Linked DNA regions of Caenorhabditis elegans. The protein of the gene in region 1 interacts with the protein of each later gene in a pairwise test. Each region holds a gene or a part of one and is shown in the gene's direction. Other genes may lie near its edges.

What was found.
Region 2: the proteins of F52C6.3 (region 1) and gst-23 interact in a two-hybrid assay, tested with the Caenorhabditis elegans proteins (one large-scale study listed by BioGRID).
Region 3: the proteins of F52C6.3 (region 1) and zoo-1 interact in a two-hybrid assay, tested with the Caenorhabditis elegans proteins (one large-scale study listed by BioGRID).
Region 4: the proteins of F52C6.3 (region 1) and mpz-3 interact in a two-hybrid assay, tested with the Caenorhabditis elegans proteins (one large-scale study listed by BioGRID).

Annotation. Positions count from the first base shown.
Region 1 is NC_003280.10:1,923,029-1,926,279, forward strand, and holds F52C6.3 (Ubiquitin-like domain-containing protein), read left to right. Parts: upstream 1-1,730; 5' UTR 1,731-1,738; coding exon 1,739-1,850; intron 1,851-1,898; coding exon 1,899-2,225; intron 2,226-2,276; coding exon 2,277-2,431; 3' UTR 2,432-2,692; downstream 2,693-3,251. Other genes in the region: F52C6.4 (Ubiquitin-like domain-containing protein), read left to right, coding at 119-230, 285-475.
Region 2 is NC_003283.11:3,241,525-3,245,055, forward strand, and holds gst-23 (Glutathione S-transferase), read left to right. Parts: upstream 1-1,759; 5' UTR 1,760-1,770; coding exon 1,771-1,905; intron 1,906-1,947; coding exon 1,948-2,035; intron 2,036-2,512; coding exon 2,513-2,916; 3' UTR 2,917-2,978; downstream 2,979-3,531. Other genes in the region: srj-11 (Serpentine Receptor, class J), read left to right, coding at 1-148, 190-296, 348-552, 603-791, 846-1,112; srj-7 (Serpentine Receptor, class J), read left to right, coding at 3,479-3,531.
Region 3 is NC_003279.8:14,528,001-14,532,577, forward strand, and holds the start of zoo-1 (Tight junction protein ZO-1), read left to right. Parts: upstream 1-1,528; 5' UTR 1,529-1,531; coding exon 1,532-1,627; intron 1,628-2,931; exon of another isoform or gene 2,932-2,980; intron 2,981-3,976; coding exon 3,977-4,030; intron 4,031-4,577.
Region 4 is NC_003280.10:6,563,259-6,567,100, reverse strand, and holds mpz-3 (PDZ domain-containing protein), read left to right. Parts: upstream 1-1,704; 5' UTR 1,705-1,750; intron 1,751-1,780; exon of another isoform or gene 1,781-1,853; intron 1,854-1,947; coding exon 1,948-2,046; intron 2,047-2,229; coding exon 2,230-2,310; intron 2,311-2,359; coding exon 2,360-2,554; intron 2,555-2,598; coding exon 2,599-2,733; intron 2,734-2,782; coding exon 2,783-2,983; intron 2,984-3,051; coding exon 3,052-3,267; 3' UTR 3,268-3,307; downstream 3,308-3,842. Other genes in the region: F18C5.5 (Vegetative cell wall protein gp1-like), read left to right, coding at 440-473, 833-899, 941-1,384, 1,434-1,557.

The DNA of each region.
Region 1 (3,251 bases):
TTATTCAACAGAATAAGTTCAAAACTTCCCGAAGATCAAATTTCTGTGGATTGTTACTCTTTTTTCACTGTTTTTTGTTGCAATACTCTCAATAAATTCAACTTTTCCAGCTAAAACCATGCTGCTCTCCGTCAAAACGTCGACTGGAAAAACCATCACAGTGGAGGCGCCGAAAAATGTGAAAACTGAAGTTCGCGACAAACAGGGAGTCGTTTTCACAGTCTCTTACGGTATTTATCGATTTTTTTTTTGGTTTTTATTTCAATATATGTTTATTTTTTCAGGAGAAGTAACCGGAGATCCAATCACTGTTGAAGCATCGGACGCCATCAAGGATCTTAATTTCAAGGTTGCCGAGGCTCAGCGAAAACCGCATCGTGAAGGAATGCGAATTTACGTTAAAACTTGTGAAAAAACGATCACTCTTGACACTGCTGCCTCCGATACCATTGCAAGTGTTAAGGCTAAAATCTAGGAAAAACGAGGTTTTCCATCAAATCTGCAGAAACTATATTTGGGTTAGTACTTTGAAACTGATAGCTTGTCTAATTTCTTTAGTTTTTACAGAACCTTCCAACATTGTTTTGTGCAAGGATCAACGTACTATTTCTGACTACAACATCAAAAACGGCAGTACTCTCCGTTTGGAAGTTCCTGTAAAAGAAAAACTGACGGTTTCTGTGAAAACCTTATTCGGAAAGACGATTCCTATTTCAATCAAGAATACGGATACTGTTGAGACATTGAAGTTCAAGGTTCAGAATAAACACGGTGTTCCACCAGATCAGCAGCGTCTCATTTTCGGTCGGGCACAGCTCGAGAATGACCGTGCTCTGTTCGCCTATAACATTCGTGATGAGGATATTATCCATTTAGTCTCCAGACATCGGTTGTGAAGTTCTCAATTTGATTGCTCTTAATCTGTTGTTTTGTTACTTTTTTGTTTTTTATTGTTGATAAATGTTGAAGGTTTTTTTTTTAATTTTTAAATTAAAAACACTGTCTCAAAATATTACAGGTACCATATTTATGATATATGAGGGTTTTTTTCCAGTAAATTCTTCTGTGTTCTGAATTTCCGACTTAAACATTTTATTTCGATGGTTCAGAAAATTGGTTTTTCAGGTTTTTGGATACTTCAGGCTGATATTTTGAAATACTCGAATTTAATTCAATTTAGCATTATTCAACCCGCTAGAATTTCTGTTGGCACATGTTTCTTCAATTAGAATTTCTATTATTTAAAAAACCACAAAGAATTTAATAAAAAATCAGCGAAACTACGGTAGACGAGGAAGTAGGCAGTTGCACACGATACACATTAAATAATTGACTTTTCCGTTTTTCTTGATTCAGTACTCGAAATGTTTTCATCGAAAACTTAGAAAAAAGTTTTTTAATATAAATGAAATTTCAATAAAATTTGCGCGTCAATTAAAGTGTTCTTTGTGCATTGTGAACTTTTTTTGCTTACCGTAGTTTTGCAATATTTGTTTTTCGATTTATTGACTTTTTCAACGCAATTCTTCTTTATAGCTTGCTTTTTGCCCGTAATTCATCAAAATCTTGATAATAATATTTATTAATTCATTCTATTCATATTTTTAAGAAAAATCATTTCGAAATTATCCAAAAACCAGATTTCTCCCTTGTTTGCTTCTTTTTTCACCGTTGTCCTCGTTTTTCTGTTGCAAAACTCTCAATAATATTTAATTTATAAATTTTTCCAGCTAAAATCATGCTGCTCTCCATCAAAACGTCGACTGGAAAAAACATCACAGTGGAAGCGCCGAAAAGTGTGAAAACTGAAGTTCGCGACAAACAGGGAGTCGTTTTCACTGTCTCTTACGGTATTTATTGTTTTTTTCTGGGTTTTGCATTAAAAAAATCATTTTCAGACAAAGGTACCGGAAATCAAATCATTGAAATGGAGGACACTGTCCAAGATGTCAAAATTCAAGAGGCTCAGCAAGCACCGCTTCGTGAATCAGAAGAAGTGACCGAAGATCCCATCAGTGTCGAATCATCGGAGGTCATCGGAAATCTGAATGTCAAGGTTGCCGAGACTCAGCAAGAACTGCATCATGAAGGAATCCGAATTTACGTTGAGAACGCTGGAAGAACATGCACACTTGACACTTCCGCCTCCGATACCATGGCAAGTGTCAAGGCTAAAATTTGGGAAAAACTAAGAATCCTCCCAAATACGCAAAAACTATTATTGGGTTTGTACTTTAAATATTGAAAGATATGTCTAATTTCTTTAATTTTTACAGAAAACTGGGACCTAGATTTGTTTAGCGATCATAGCACTCTTTTTGACAACAGTTTCGAAAACGGCAGTACTCTTCGTTTGGAAGTTTCTATAGAAAAAGAAATTGACGTTTTTGTGAAAACCTATACCGGAAAGACAATCACCATTTCAATCTAGAATACGGATACTGTTGAGACCTTGAAGCTCAAGATTCAGGATAAGGAAGGTATTCCACCAGATCAACAGCGTCTTATTTATCAAGGATCGCAGCTCGAGGATGACCGTACTTTGATTGCCTATAACATCTATAATGAGGCTACTCTCCGTTTAATTCTCAGACTTCGTGGATGAAGTTCTCAATTTGAATATTGTTAATTTGTTACTTGTTATTTTGTTACTGTTCTGTTTATTTTTGTTGATGAATGTTGAAAAAGTTTAGATTTTTTTGAAATTAAAAATATGGTTTTTAAACAGCCGGTATATTTCTTTGTGTTCTGAATTTCCAACGTAAAGAATCTTTTTCAGTGATTCAGAAAGTGTGCTTTTCAGGTTTTTCGTTAATTTCTGTATTTCTCTATCATAGAATACATTTCAACTCACAAGAATTTTCGTTAAAAACCACAAAAAAATTAATAAAAAATCGGCAAAACTATGGTAGACGAGAAAGTACGCTGTTGCGCACAATGCATGTTAATTGACGCGCAAACAGTTTTTTGTAATATTTTTTTCCTGTTTTGCTTGATTCAGTACTTGAAATGTTTCTTTTCAAATATTATAATAGTTTTTTTTAAAATTTTCTGCAAAAAATGCTGAAATTCTAATAAAACCAAAAAAAAACTCAAAAAACGGCATGCGCGTCAATTCATGCGCATTGTGTTCATTGTGAACTTTTACGCTTACCGTAGTTTGTCGAGATTTGTTTTTCGATTTATTGATTTTTTCGAAACTCTTGCCCATATTAACTTGCTCTTTCTCGCTATTTATCGAAATTTGAATG
Region 2 (3,531 bases), on another chromosome or scaffold:
GGCTTCGATCGGGAAGTATCGATATCTTTTGATAGGGTTTGCAATTTTTGATATGGCTTACTCAACTGTAGAGCTAATCGTTCCCGTAGCAATTCATGGTACTGGGGCAGCTTTTGTGATTTACCTAGCTGACGGACCATTTTTTGGGGTGAGTTTGAAAGCTCTACACACCAAATGATTGAACTTCAGACTGGGAAGCTTGGCCAACTAGCTGTCTCAATTCGATGTGGGTGTATTTCTCTTTCATATGGAATCCTTGTCATTCACTTTATCTATCGGTATCTTGTGCTATTTAAGTGAGTTTTATTTTTATTTTTCACGTAAATCCGAAAATTTAAAAATTATAGCACCCGAATAATCGATCGACTTCTCCGGCCGTCCGGGCTATTTGGTCTCTTTGTATTTTTTGTTTTTCACGGAATAGCTTGGAGTTCTGTCTGCGAGATGTGTCTCTATGGAGATCAAGAAGTGTTCGACTACATCTATGACGCTTTTCAAAAAGATTACCATGTGGATTCACATGATTTATCCATGCTAATGGCATTGTTTTTCGTGAGGCTCGAAAAGAGCAAAGAACCAACACTAACCCCTTAAAATTTTAGGATGCAAGTCCCGAGATCAAAAGAAGAAGCTGGATTGGAATTCTGCTGCTGACTGGAATTTCGATATATGCAATTTCTCTATACGTTATTCTTGGATGGAAGATTATGAAAAAGCTGGCGGATAATCCAGGGGTTTCTGCAACGACTCAGAAATTGCATAGACAGTTATTCAAAGCCCTTGCAGTTCAGGTATACATGTTTTTAAAGAGTTCAGAAAAAAATTGTTTAACTAAACATTTTCAGACTTTCATCCCGATCTGCATCAGCTTCTCCCCTTGCATGATGGCCTGGTACGGTCCTGTAATCGGATTGGATCTCGGAATGTGGAACAATTATTTGGGCGTCATTGCACTGTCAGCGTTCCCTGTTCTAGATCCACTTGCTATCATTTTCCTCCTACCCAACTACCGGAACAAGCTTTTTCGCACTGTGAAAATGCCAATCAAATACTTTTATTCTGGAACATCGACTGTCCGACCCAACGTGGATAATTCAGCTCAAGTTTATTGAAAGTTTGAGGAAAAGTGTTGTCCAAGTTGTTATAAAATTTCTTATTTTTTTCCATAAATATTTTTCGCAACGTTCTTTTTTAATCAATGTGAAAGAGTTTTATTTGCATTTCTCGAAATACATGTTTGCTTTATAGATTTTTTCAATAGCCTGCGGACATTTTCAACGTGTCCCTCTTTTCTTACCAAGTTTGCAGACAGCTTACACTTTCTTCGTTTTTTTTTGGTTTTTAAAAACAAATTATTCTCAATTTAGTACTGTAACTTTTTGAACAACTTAGCACTTTTATAACAATGTCGTTAAGTTTGAGTTGGGATGATAGTTCTAGAAAATTATTTTGTCAAGTTTGGAGAATTCTTGTCGATGGGATTATTTTTGATCAATTACAGGAAAAAACCGTATAGAAATTTAAAATCAACACATAAACCTTACTAATTTACAGTTCACAATCGCGTCACACCCCTAACCCGATTATATTTTCGGTTTTTATTGCCGAAAATACAACAACACATGTATGAATTCGTATAGTTGCCCTCTATTATAATATTTTTGCATTTATGTTTTCCCAAATTCTCAAAAGTTTTATTTTTTCAAATTTACCGGAATCATAAAATTTACGTTTTTCTAATTTGGTTTTTCTAATTTATAGACCACTTCGATGACACTCAAGCTCACATACTTTGACATTCGTGGGCTCGCGGAGCCCATTCGGCTCTTGCTCAATGACCAGGAAATCCCATTTGAAGATAACCGTATCAGCCGAGAAGAGTGGGCCGAAATGAAGTCAACCATGGTGATTCATAATTTTTGAAACTATAAAAGTAGAATTTTCCAGATTTTCGCTCAATTGCCGTGTCTTCATATCGGAACTGAAACGATTGTCCAGTCAGCAGCGATTCTTCGTCATCTTGGACGGATTTATGGTGAGCAATCAGAAAATTTACAGTTTTGAAATAAAAAATTCATTCGAATTGATGAAAAAGAAAAAGCCTGTCAAATTGCTTATTAATTGTTTTGATAAATGTTTTGTTTTGAAAAAATCGTTTTTTTTGAGTGAAAATTTTTTTGATTTTCTCAAAATAAAAATTTTCAAAAAAACTTGCAGAATGTATACATCCGAAATCGTATAAAAATTATCTAAAAGTAGTCTTTTGGAGCAATTCTAAACGTCGTCAAATTAGTCAATAAATTGTTTTAAACTTTTGGCTTTATAGTTAGCTCTTCTAGGCTGACTTAATGCGTTTTTGATTACAATTTTTTTTTGATCTCAAAATATCAGTTGGAGAAAATAACGAAAAATATATTAACAATTGTTTTCCCGGCTGTTGAGTTAACATTTTGCAAATCTTATTTAAAATTCAATACAAAAAGAAAAAAAAACAACATCTAAAATTTCTCAGGACTCAATGGCTCCACTGAATCAGAGACCTCATTCATCGATATGTTCTCCGAAGGGCTCCGCGATCTACGCACCAAATATTTCACAATGATCAAGACAGACTACGAAGATGGCAAAGAAGCATACATAACTGAAACTCTTCCCGGGGAGCTACTACGAATTGAGAAGTTGTTCTGCACATTTAACAACGGCGAAAACTTTGTGTCCGGGGACAAGCTGAGCTATGCAGATTATGCTCTATTCGAGCTTCTCGATATTCACCTCATCCTCACACCAACTGCTCTAAATGGCACCCCAGCACTGAAAAGATTTCATGGACGATTTGCAGAGCGGCCCAATATGAGACTGTATTTGAATAAACGGGCCGAACTAAATCCATTCGTCAGTGGAAATGGGAAACAATAAAACTTTCGGATTTTTTTGTGTTAAATTAATTTTGCAATACTAATAAAACTTGTTTCAAATAACTATTGTTTCAAAAAGCAAAACTCAACTGTGAAACCATTTTCAAAAAATGAGCTATCAAAATTTCGAGTACTTAAAAATTAAATTTTTTTAAAGTTTTTTGAATTAACTTATCAAAGTCTATAGGTTTCACGATAACCTACTGCATATAAAACATTGGGTCCTGACACGAAAAACCAATGTAGTAGGAGTAAAACGTTGTTTGAAAATTAATACAGGTGCTGTTTATGAATCAGACCCTGGAGAATACAGATAACACCCACCTCAAGTCTGCTCAATGACGCTATCACACATGGAGGACTTTTTCGACCCTTTTCAGTGTGTTCCTTTGCAAAAACGGAGTTACCATAGCAGACAAATATTCAAGTCACAAAACACATAGTGCCCCAACCCCAAAGGAGTATACTATTTTACGAGAACTCGGCATTTATAAGAAAAACAAGAGGGGAAAACACTTCTACATCTCTTCATCGAGAAGATCCCATTATTTTTCAATACAACTATGATATATATGAACTGGTACCATCAAAATGTTCCCAAAATTTTGGGAGCACT
Region 3 (4,577 bases), on another chromosome or scaffold:
TTCTGCAAAAAAAAACTAATCAACTTTTTTCCAGTTTATGAGTTTTTGAGCTGAAGTGTTTTGTGCCAATCACCAAACAAGACTTGTCCATTTTTTGTTCTGAAATCGATGTTTTAGACTGTATTTCAAGCTTATATGATACACTGTCTTGGGAAAATAGGTTATTGAACCATCTGACTTTGGTTTGACAAAAGCATAAAAGTGACAAAGTCTAATACCTCACAGTTTTGAAACTTTCGTTCAAGACTGTAATAATTATTAATTAGAAATAGCTAACTAGAACCGATATACATAGGTACTTAATTCTATATATCTATATACCTATATAATTATATATATACCGAATTCTATAACACACCATGGAATTTTACCATATATTCCCTTTTTAGTACGTTTATATCTCGGTTGTCTTTGATCATATTTCAAAAATTCAAAATTCAAACGACACAATTTTTTTCAAATCTATCGTTATGCTTTGGTTTTTGAAGGTATCAAAAATATTTTTAAACCGTTGAAATATGAGCCGACAAAGTCGATTGACGGGGGGCCATACTAATAGGGAATGTACGGTATATATAATTTATGTACATATATGTATTATAACGTATGATAACATTCATACACTTCCTTTTTTTGACTAACTCAATTGCATGGAATTTGAATTTAAGACTACACACATTTTCCAAACAATTACTATTTTTCTTCTCTCATATCTCTAATTACTCCGATACTATTCAAAAATTCAATTCCCCATCCCCCCAGAAAACCCCAAAATTACTCCAAATTCCACGCATCCCAAATTCAATTTCCTTTACATGACCCCTTTTCCCCATTCTCCTACCCTTCTGCCTACCAATATGTCGTCAAATTCAATGTCTGCGTACCCGATATATGCGTATGTATTGAATGGAATAACACACCATTTGACGACATTTTCCCCGTTTAAACTAACAACTTTTCAAGGTTGTTTATTGGATTTTGCAGGGTTTTGTATGGGAAAAGTTCAGGATTTTCCTATAAAATCAATATTTCTTTGGAATTTATAATTGTTTAAGTACTGTGATAACTACTTAAATAGAACTTGTTTTATTTGAGTTTGTTAAAATTTAATTTGTTCATAATGTAACCGCTTTAAACGGGGCTTTTTTACTATTATTAAATTTAAAAGTTGACCTATTATAACTTTTTCTCAATAAGAAGTTTCAATTTTCATACTAATTACTACTTCTATACAGTTTTTTTCGATGTTACTTTAAAAAATTGAAAACTTGTCCTTATAAATTAGAATTTTCTGGTTATTCTTATTATTTCTGTTGAAATTGAACTTTAAAACGTTTTCAATTGTTCTTTGAGTTAAAATATTAATTTTTATAACAAAATTTAAAAAAAAAACCGCAGTCTTCAAAAAGCATAAGAAACAAACTGAACTTCATTGCTTTTTCCGCTTCTATTTGTATATACGATTAGCCTCTATTTACCCTGTGATTTTTGATTATTTTCTTTTTGTATATAACAACTTTTATATTCCAGAATGTCAGAGGACCCATCATGGTACAAGACCTCCATGTCAAGTACGTCTTCTTGTATTGAGGAGGAACATGAGCCTGTCGATCAGGATGAGGAAGAGGTTAGTATTTTTGTTTGTTTCTAAAAAAAAAATTAAAGCTTTATACCAAATTCTAACAATTTTTTTGTTGGATATAGCAATATAATGATGTTTTTCAAGTAGTGTCGGAAAATTAAAAAGTTTAGAAAATGAACGTTACCGCTGTAAGCATGTATTTTAATACTGTTGTGACGTCATAAATGTATTTAAATAAGGTAGCTGTTATACCGTCATCACGTACAATTTTAAGAATTTATTTGAGCTTTCACACTACAATATTTCGATACGTTTTCAAAATCAAAGCTATAACTAACTGTAACGCTATGTCCTTTGTTATACGTTACAACGTTTTATTACACACTATAATATAGATTTAGCCTGATTTCAAATGTTATAAATTATACGTTATCAACAAGATTAAAAGGTTAAGGTTATAGTATCATATATTAAAAAAACGTTAAAATTTTAATTGAACGATCATATTAAAACAACGTTTTTACATGTGTAACGAATTATAACGTTAGTTTTTAAAATAAAGGTTATAAAGTATCGTGTAATATTTTTAAAAAAAGTTAAAACGTAACGTTAAGTTAAGGCTATACATAGTATATTTTTCGTAATAAGGTATAACGTTTTAAAGGTGGGGATATTGTCTAAGTACACTTATTATGATCCAAAACGACCAAATATCATAATATAACACAATTTTAGATTTTTCATAATTTCCGGCCTAAGTTTTGGCATATTGCCAAAACTTTGAAAAATCAGAGCTTTTGAAAAAAAGTCCAAAGGTATGCCGCATGTTTCGACCCCTACAATGTTTTAATACGAATAATTAAAACAAGATTACAGAATTAAAAATGTAGAAAAACAATTTTTTTTTGGTCGACTTCCAAAATTATGAGTGGCAAAAACTCAGTAATTGTCACCACTTTTTGACAATAAATAAAAAATTTTCAAAAATTTTTTGAAAAGTTTTATTATGATATTAGATCATTTTGGGACTTTTGGTTTTTAACAACTTCCCCACTGGCACTACTCCACCTTTAAGATGTATGTTTTAACGGTATAACGTATAGGGTTAAAAGCAACTTTAAATTAAGGTTTTTACATAGTTGAACGATTTTGTCCATTTTTGTCGCGATGCTTGTTCCACTAGCAAAAACTGAACATGCTCACACTTTCTTTGAAAACCGCGAAAAATTAATGCCAAAAGATAGAAAACCATTCAAAACGCGTTTACTACCCCTGAAACAAAACGTCTAATAATATGAGAGTCAGGTCAAAAATAAAAGAGACACTTTTCTCATTCTCCTCCCATCCACTTTTTTCTCGTTTTTCAACATAGTGTAAATGAGAAATGTGTGTGTATGAAAAAGAAAAAGAGCCTCTTCTTCTTCTTCTTTCTTCTTCCACACAACTTCCCGAGGGACCCCCTTTTCCCAGTTTTAACCAGACATTGATATCATGCCCTTCTTAGAAGAGAGAGAGAGAGAGAAGACTCTTTTTGTTTCTATTCAACTCGTGTGTCGCTTATTTGACTTTTGATGTCTACTGGTAGCCTAGTTATGAGAAAAATTACAATAGATTTTAGAATTCTTAGGCTGTATGGGTACTGTAATTTATCACCTATAGGAAAAATTGATAGCATTACATATATGGTTTTAAATTACTCATAATTTGGGGTAGATCAAAAAAGAGAAACTTTTTAAATTGGTATCTAACAAATGCTATATCTATATAGTTGATTTATTATTTTCCAAGAAGTTATGAAAAATTAGTCTTTCACCATTTTTGATTCGGCAAAGTTTAGCGGTAATTTACATTCATGAACAACAGTTGCCAAAAATGTTTTTCTGCATCTTATAGTGAATTTTCATATTATTTTATAAGTTTCAGGAATAACAATTTAAAAATTTGTATGTATAGGCAAATACTGTTTGTGGTTTTAGTTTCACCGTTATAAAATAAGTAGTCGTTTTCTTAATATAAAAAATTGGATTTTTTAGGAAATTGATAATAATGGTACGGTTTCTATGTAGTAGCTGCGGTCCAAAACTTTTGACCAGTTTAAAAAGTTAAGCTTACAATTAGCAAATGCTTTTTCTATACTTTGGTTTAGTTGCAACATAATTAACAAAACTAACTGTTTTAAATCTAAAATTACGGCAATTTCTGTGCAGTTTTTCTAAAACCTAAAAATCACCTATTTTTGATTGTTTATAATTAAGTAGCAAGAAAGTGTCCTAGCCAAAAAATAGGAAATTTCTTGCTCTTTCAGACCAGTATACTAACGTCTCTGTACCTACGATATTCATTTCAAAAATCTTTTTCTAAAACCTAAAAATCACCTAATCACCTATATTCCAGATGTACAACCCGAGTGGATGCACGTGGCAACTTCTCTCCGTCTCCTTACACAGAGTATGTTTCTTTTTGTTTATATTTTAAACATTGTCTAATTCCTCCCTGACCATAAACAAAACCCGTTTCCCATTTTTTTTCTCCTACTCGGGTATAAATGATTTATCGTCCATGTATGCAAGGGACAATTGTGTATAGGTATAGGGGTATACATTCCGTTTAGGCAATCTGTATAGAAATTTCCAGGTAAACTCGTTACTTGATACAGGTCGAATGTCAATTACCTGTCAACCTATCTATTTAGCACAGTTACAAATATATGTACATAGAAGAACTATTTTCTGATAGTGAGTCGAAAATTTTGTTATTTATACCTTACTTGAATTATGTGTTGAGTTTCTAAAAAAAACTCCCCTAACTCGGTTAAATTTCGGATTTTCATAAAAATTATCTACTAAATTCTGAGCTTAATTAAAAATTTATTATAATTTCCTAAACTAGGGTGCCAAGCTGTCCTCAGCACACTCTTAACCATGCGAATCCAGTTTAGAAGCCTGCGTCTAAAATCCCGCAATTCTCGGAGATCAAACCGAAATGGGACATTGTG
Region 4 (3,842 bases), 4.6 Mb from region 1:
CAGTACCACCTCGAGTATCATCTATGTCCCGCCCATTATTTGAGTGTCCTCAAATTTGCATAGCATTGTTGTAAAACCATGTCACAAGTGGGATACTTTACAAAGTATATGTTAAAAATTGACAGCGAACACTAATGTTCTGAACAACATAGAATTAAATAAAAATCTAGCAAGTTCAATATCACGATAATCCAATATATCCCTGTTTGTAAAAACTAATGTTAGCTGAACTTTCATCTTATTGAAGACAGTGTACAAGTGGTGGATATCCATTGTCTTTTTTCATTTTCAACGGGAATTTTCATTGAGATTTCCACAAAATGATGGCTAATTGATAAGGGCAAAACGAGAAATCGTAGGAAGAAAAGTGATAAGAAGCGACGCCTTCGAGGCTTATTCTATCTTTTTCGTCTTCTCATTTTTGTGGAAAGAATCAACAATGAAGCTTCTTCTGTTAGCTGTTTGTGTCATCGGTTAGTTTTTCGATTGTTTCGTTGATTTATCCCTAAATTTAGCTCTAAATGGTAAAGGAAATATTTATCTAATTGGGTTAAAATATGTTCAAATTTGTTTTAAAAAATATTAAGAAAAATACATAACTAATTTATTTGACATATCCAAAACTTCTTAGTCATAACAATTTTACCCAATATGAATTCTGCTTGTACGTCAATAAATTGAAACGTTCTATAAATAACCAAATTTCGATTCTCATATTTTCTTCGTCTTGCACGAAATCGCAAAAAAAACCAGTCCAGAAAAATTGCTTCTATATAATTTTCAGTTGATCAATATATTTGACTTCAAAATTCAATTAATTTCAACATTTCAGGATTCGTTGCATGTTATGAAGTTGTACCGAGAGCAAGTGCTTTAAGACCGAGAGGAGATGTTCGAAGGTTTAACATTTATTCCATTTTTTCTTTAATCTATTCTTCAGATCACCCCTCCCATCATTATCGGCATATGCTCCTTTTGCTAAATCTCTTCGTCCAGCTTCTACAGGAATCCGACGTGCTCCAGCAGTTGTTACACTTCCAGCTCAAAAAGCTAATCGTTCAGTGAAAAGAGCTCCAGCTAAACCACTTCCAATGACACTTCCACTTCTTCCACCACTTCTTCCACTTCCACAATTCATTCCAGTACCTGTACCAGTCCTGTCTGCAGAAGGCCTTCCAACTCTTCCAACTCTTGCTCCACATACTTTCCCAACTTTCACTCCAATTCCTGGAATGCCAACAATGCCTGCATTGACAATGCCACCAAGTTTCCAACGTCTTCTTGGAATCACAACTACAACTATGAAACCAGCTGAAAAAGCTATGGAAACTGTTCAAACTGAAGAATCTGATAATGACACAACGTCCGAAGCTAGAGCTCATAGGTGAATTACTCAAATCAGGAGAAAATAATCTAATATTAATTAATTTCAGCGCCCCAACATACAGCAAAGATCTGAATACAATTCGTTCAAGACTTTCAAAGTTTGTAAGAGGAAGTGAAAAGAAAGTGACAAAAGCAGAAGACAACGCTGATTGGATTGTTCCATTCCATTGATCTCATCAAAATATAATAATTTTAATTAATAATAAATAATTTAATTAATTTAATAAATATACCCGCGTGACATCGTTTGAATTCGTTTTACACAGAAAAAAATCAGAAAATAAAAAGTGAAAAGAGAAACTGAATCAGTTTCAAATATTTCCTTGTCGACAGTTGCTTTCATCTTCGCATCAATCTATTCGGGGTAAGTTAATATTCAGACTGCAAAAAATCAAGCCACCTAGGGGACTCGAACCCCTGACCTTAAGATTAAAAGTCTCACGCTCTACCAACTGAGCTAAGGAGGCCAGCGAGTGCGCTGGGTCCAAAGGCATAGACGCTCGACTAGTTACAGGAGACGCGAGAGTGGGTTGCTGTGAGATAGACACGTACTATTTACAGATGGCAACCAACAACAATAGTTTTCATGTAAAAGGAAAAGAAGAAGTACAATTCGAACGGAAAAATGTGGTTGTAGCATGTGATGTGGTCAATGGAAAGGTAAATAAAGAATCCAACACAGGGCTCGCGTCGAGAGCCGAATAAAACTTCAAAAGCCCTGATGTGTAGAACAGTAGAACACTCTTTAATAAATAAGAAGTCCGGTTGCAATTTCCTTCGAGGCTGTAAAAAGACTCATTTTCAATTCAAAAATCGAAGAGATCTTGAATAATCACATTGCAGATTACATATGTGGATGTGAGTAGCCAACTGATGGGTGTTCTATTTGCTGGTGATGAGATTCTGAATGTCAATGGAGAAACTGTAAGGAATATTTTAAGATTTTCCGTTTCAACTAATCAAACATTTCCAGAACATCAAGACAACTGCTGACTTTATCCGTGCAATTAGTGCAAAACTTCCCGGAAAAGTGACAATTGAATTCATGCGAGACGATCATTGCCTTGTCACTGAAAAACCAATGCCACCACGTCGTCCAAATACTCAAATGGTTGAGTTGACTTTCACTTATCGTGGAGGTGCTGCAACAGGGATTATCATTCATAGAGTTAGTAATCAGGGACAATTTATACTTTCATGGATGATTTACAGATGGCAGTTGATCCAAAAACTGTGACTATTTCAATGGTTCAATCGGCTTCCAATGCGTGTCACTATGTCAAGGATGGAGATATTCTTGTTAAAGTTAATGACATTTATGTTCTTGATCGTGACTCTGCTAGAAAGGTATTGTAGTATTTTTCTTATTTTATTTTAGTAATTAACTTACTTTCAGCTTCTCTACGCGAGTGTCAACAACACAAAAACGGTCCGTCTTACATTGGAAAGATCCACAACTACTGATCCACTTGGTCCTGCTCCACCGCCTCCCGATGGTGCACAGAGCACACCTGCTGGAGTGAAGAAATCTGGAAATTCAGTGATGCTTCCTCCTCCAAAACCACCCCAAGGAAAAGCCAACAAGCAGTTTGATGTGGTCAGTTTGAACCCATTTCCTCTTATCATTTCATTTACCAAAACATGTTTTTATTTTCTTCTTTGCAGCTTCTTCCTCCTGATGTTTTGGAGATTATGAAGGCAAACAAAGATTTCTACAAGAAACCGTGCAAGAATCCTCCATGCATCATCAAAACAACCGCCGCATCAGCCCCTGCTCCAGTTCCAGCCACCTTGCCATCGGATCCTGCCCCAGAAGTTCGCATCCCGTACATTCCGTCTCCGAAGCCCCTGAAAATGACTCCAAAACGTGTGGGATCTTAACTTGAGAAAAGTGTTCGAAATAAAGTTTTCAAAAAGTGTTTGTTTGGTTGTTTACCGTTCTATCCATCCCTAACCTATGCCTAGAGACACAAATATTTACGGTCCTTCAACCTGTGATTTGAAAAAGGCAGGCCTAATTCTATTTATTGTTGAATGCCAGATTGGTTTCTCCTCGAAACCCTCATGAATCTAAAACCTACAGCTTTTACACATTATTTGAAACATTTCTAGTCTCACATCATCGTCCGTTTTTTCTTGCTCCTAGTTGTCTCACAGAGTTGCAAATGTTCATCTAGCAAACGTCTGCGTCTCTATGTCCTACTCACTATTTCCACTAGTTTTTCTTCCTGTCTCTCACTGTGCACGGACAGAGAGACGTACGAGACGGCCGGTGCTGCTTGGTACCGACTCTGTGCGTCTGGTTGTCCGTGTCCGTGTCCGCCCGCCGCTCTCACTCGCCAAAATATGACTGAGAATTGGAAAAAGGCAATGGATGAGAGTGTGTATCTGTCATTTCTGGATGCATACTGGCTCTCATTTTCACTTGATTCGGAGGGATATAGGCCATTTTAACC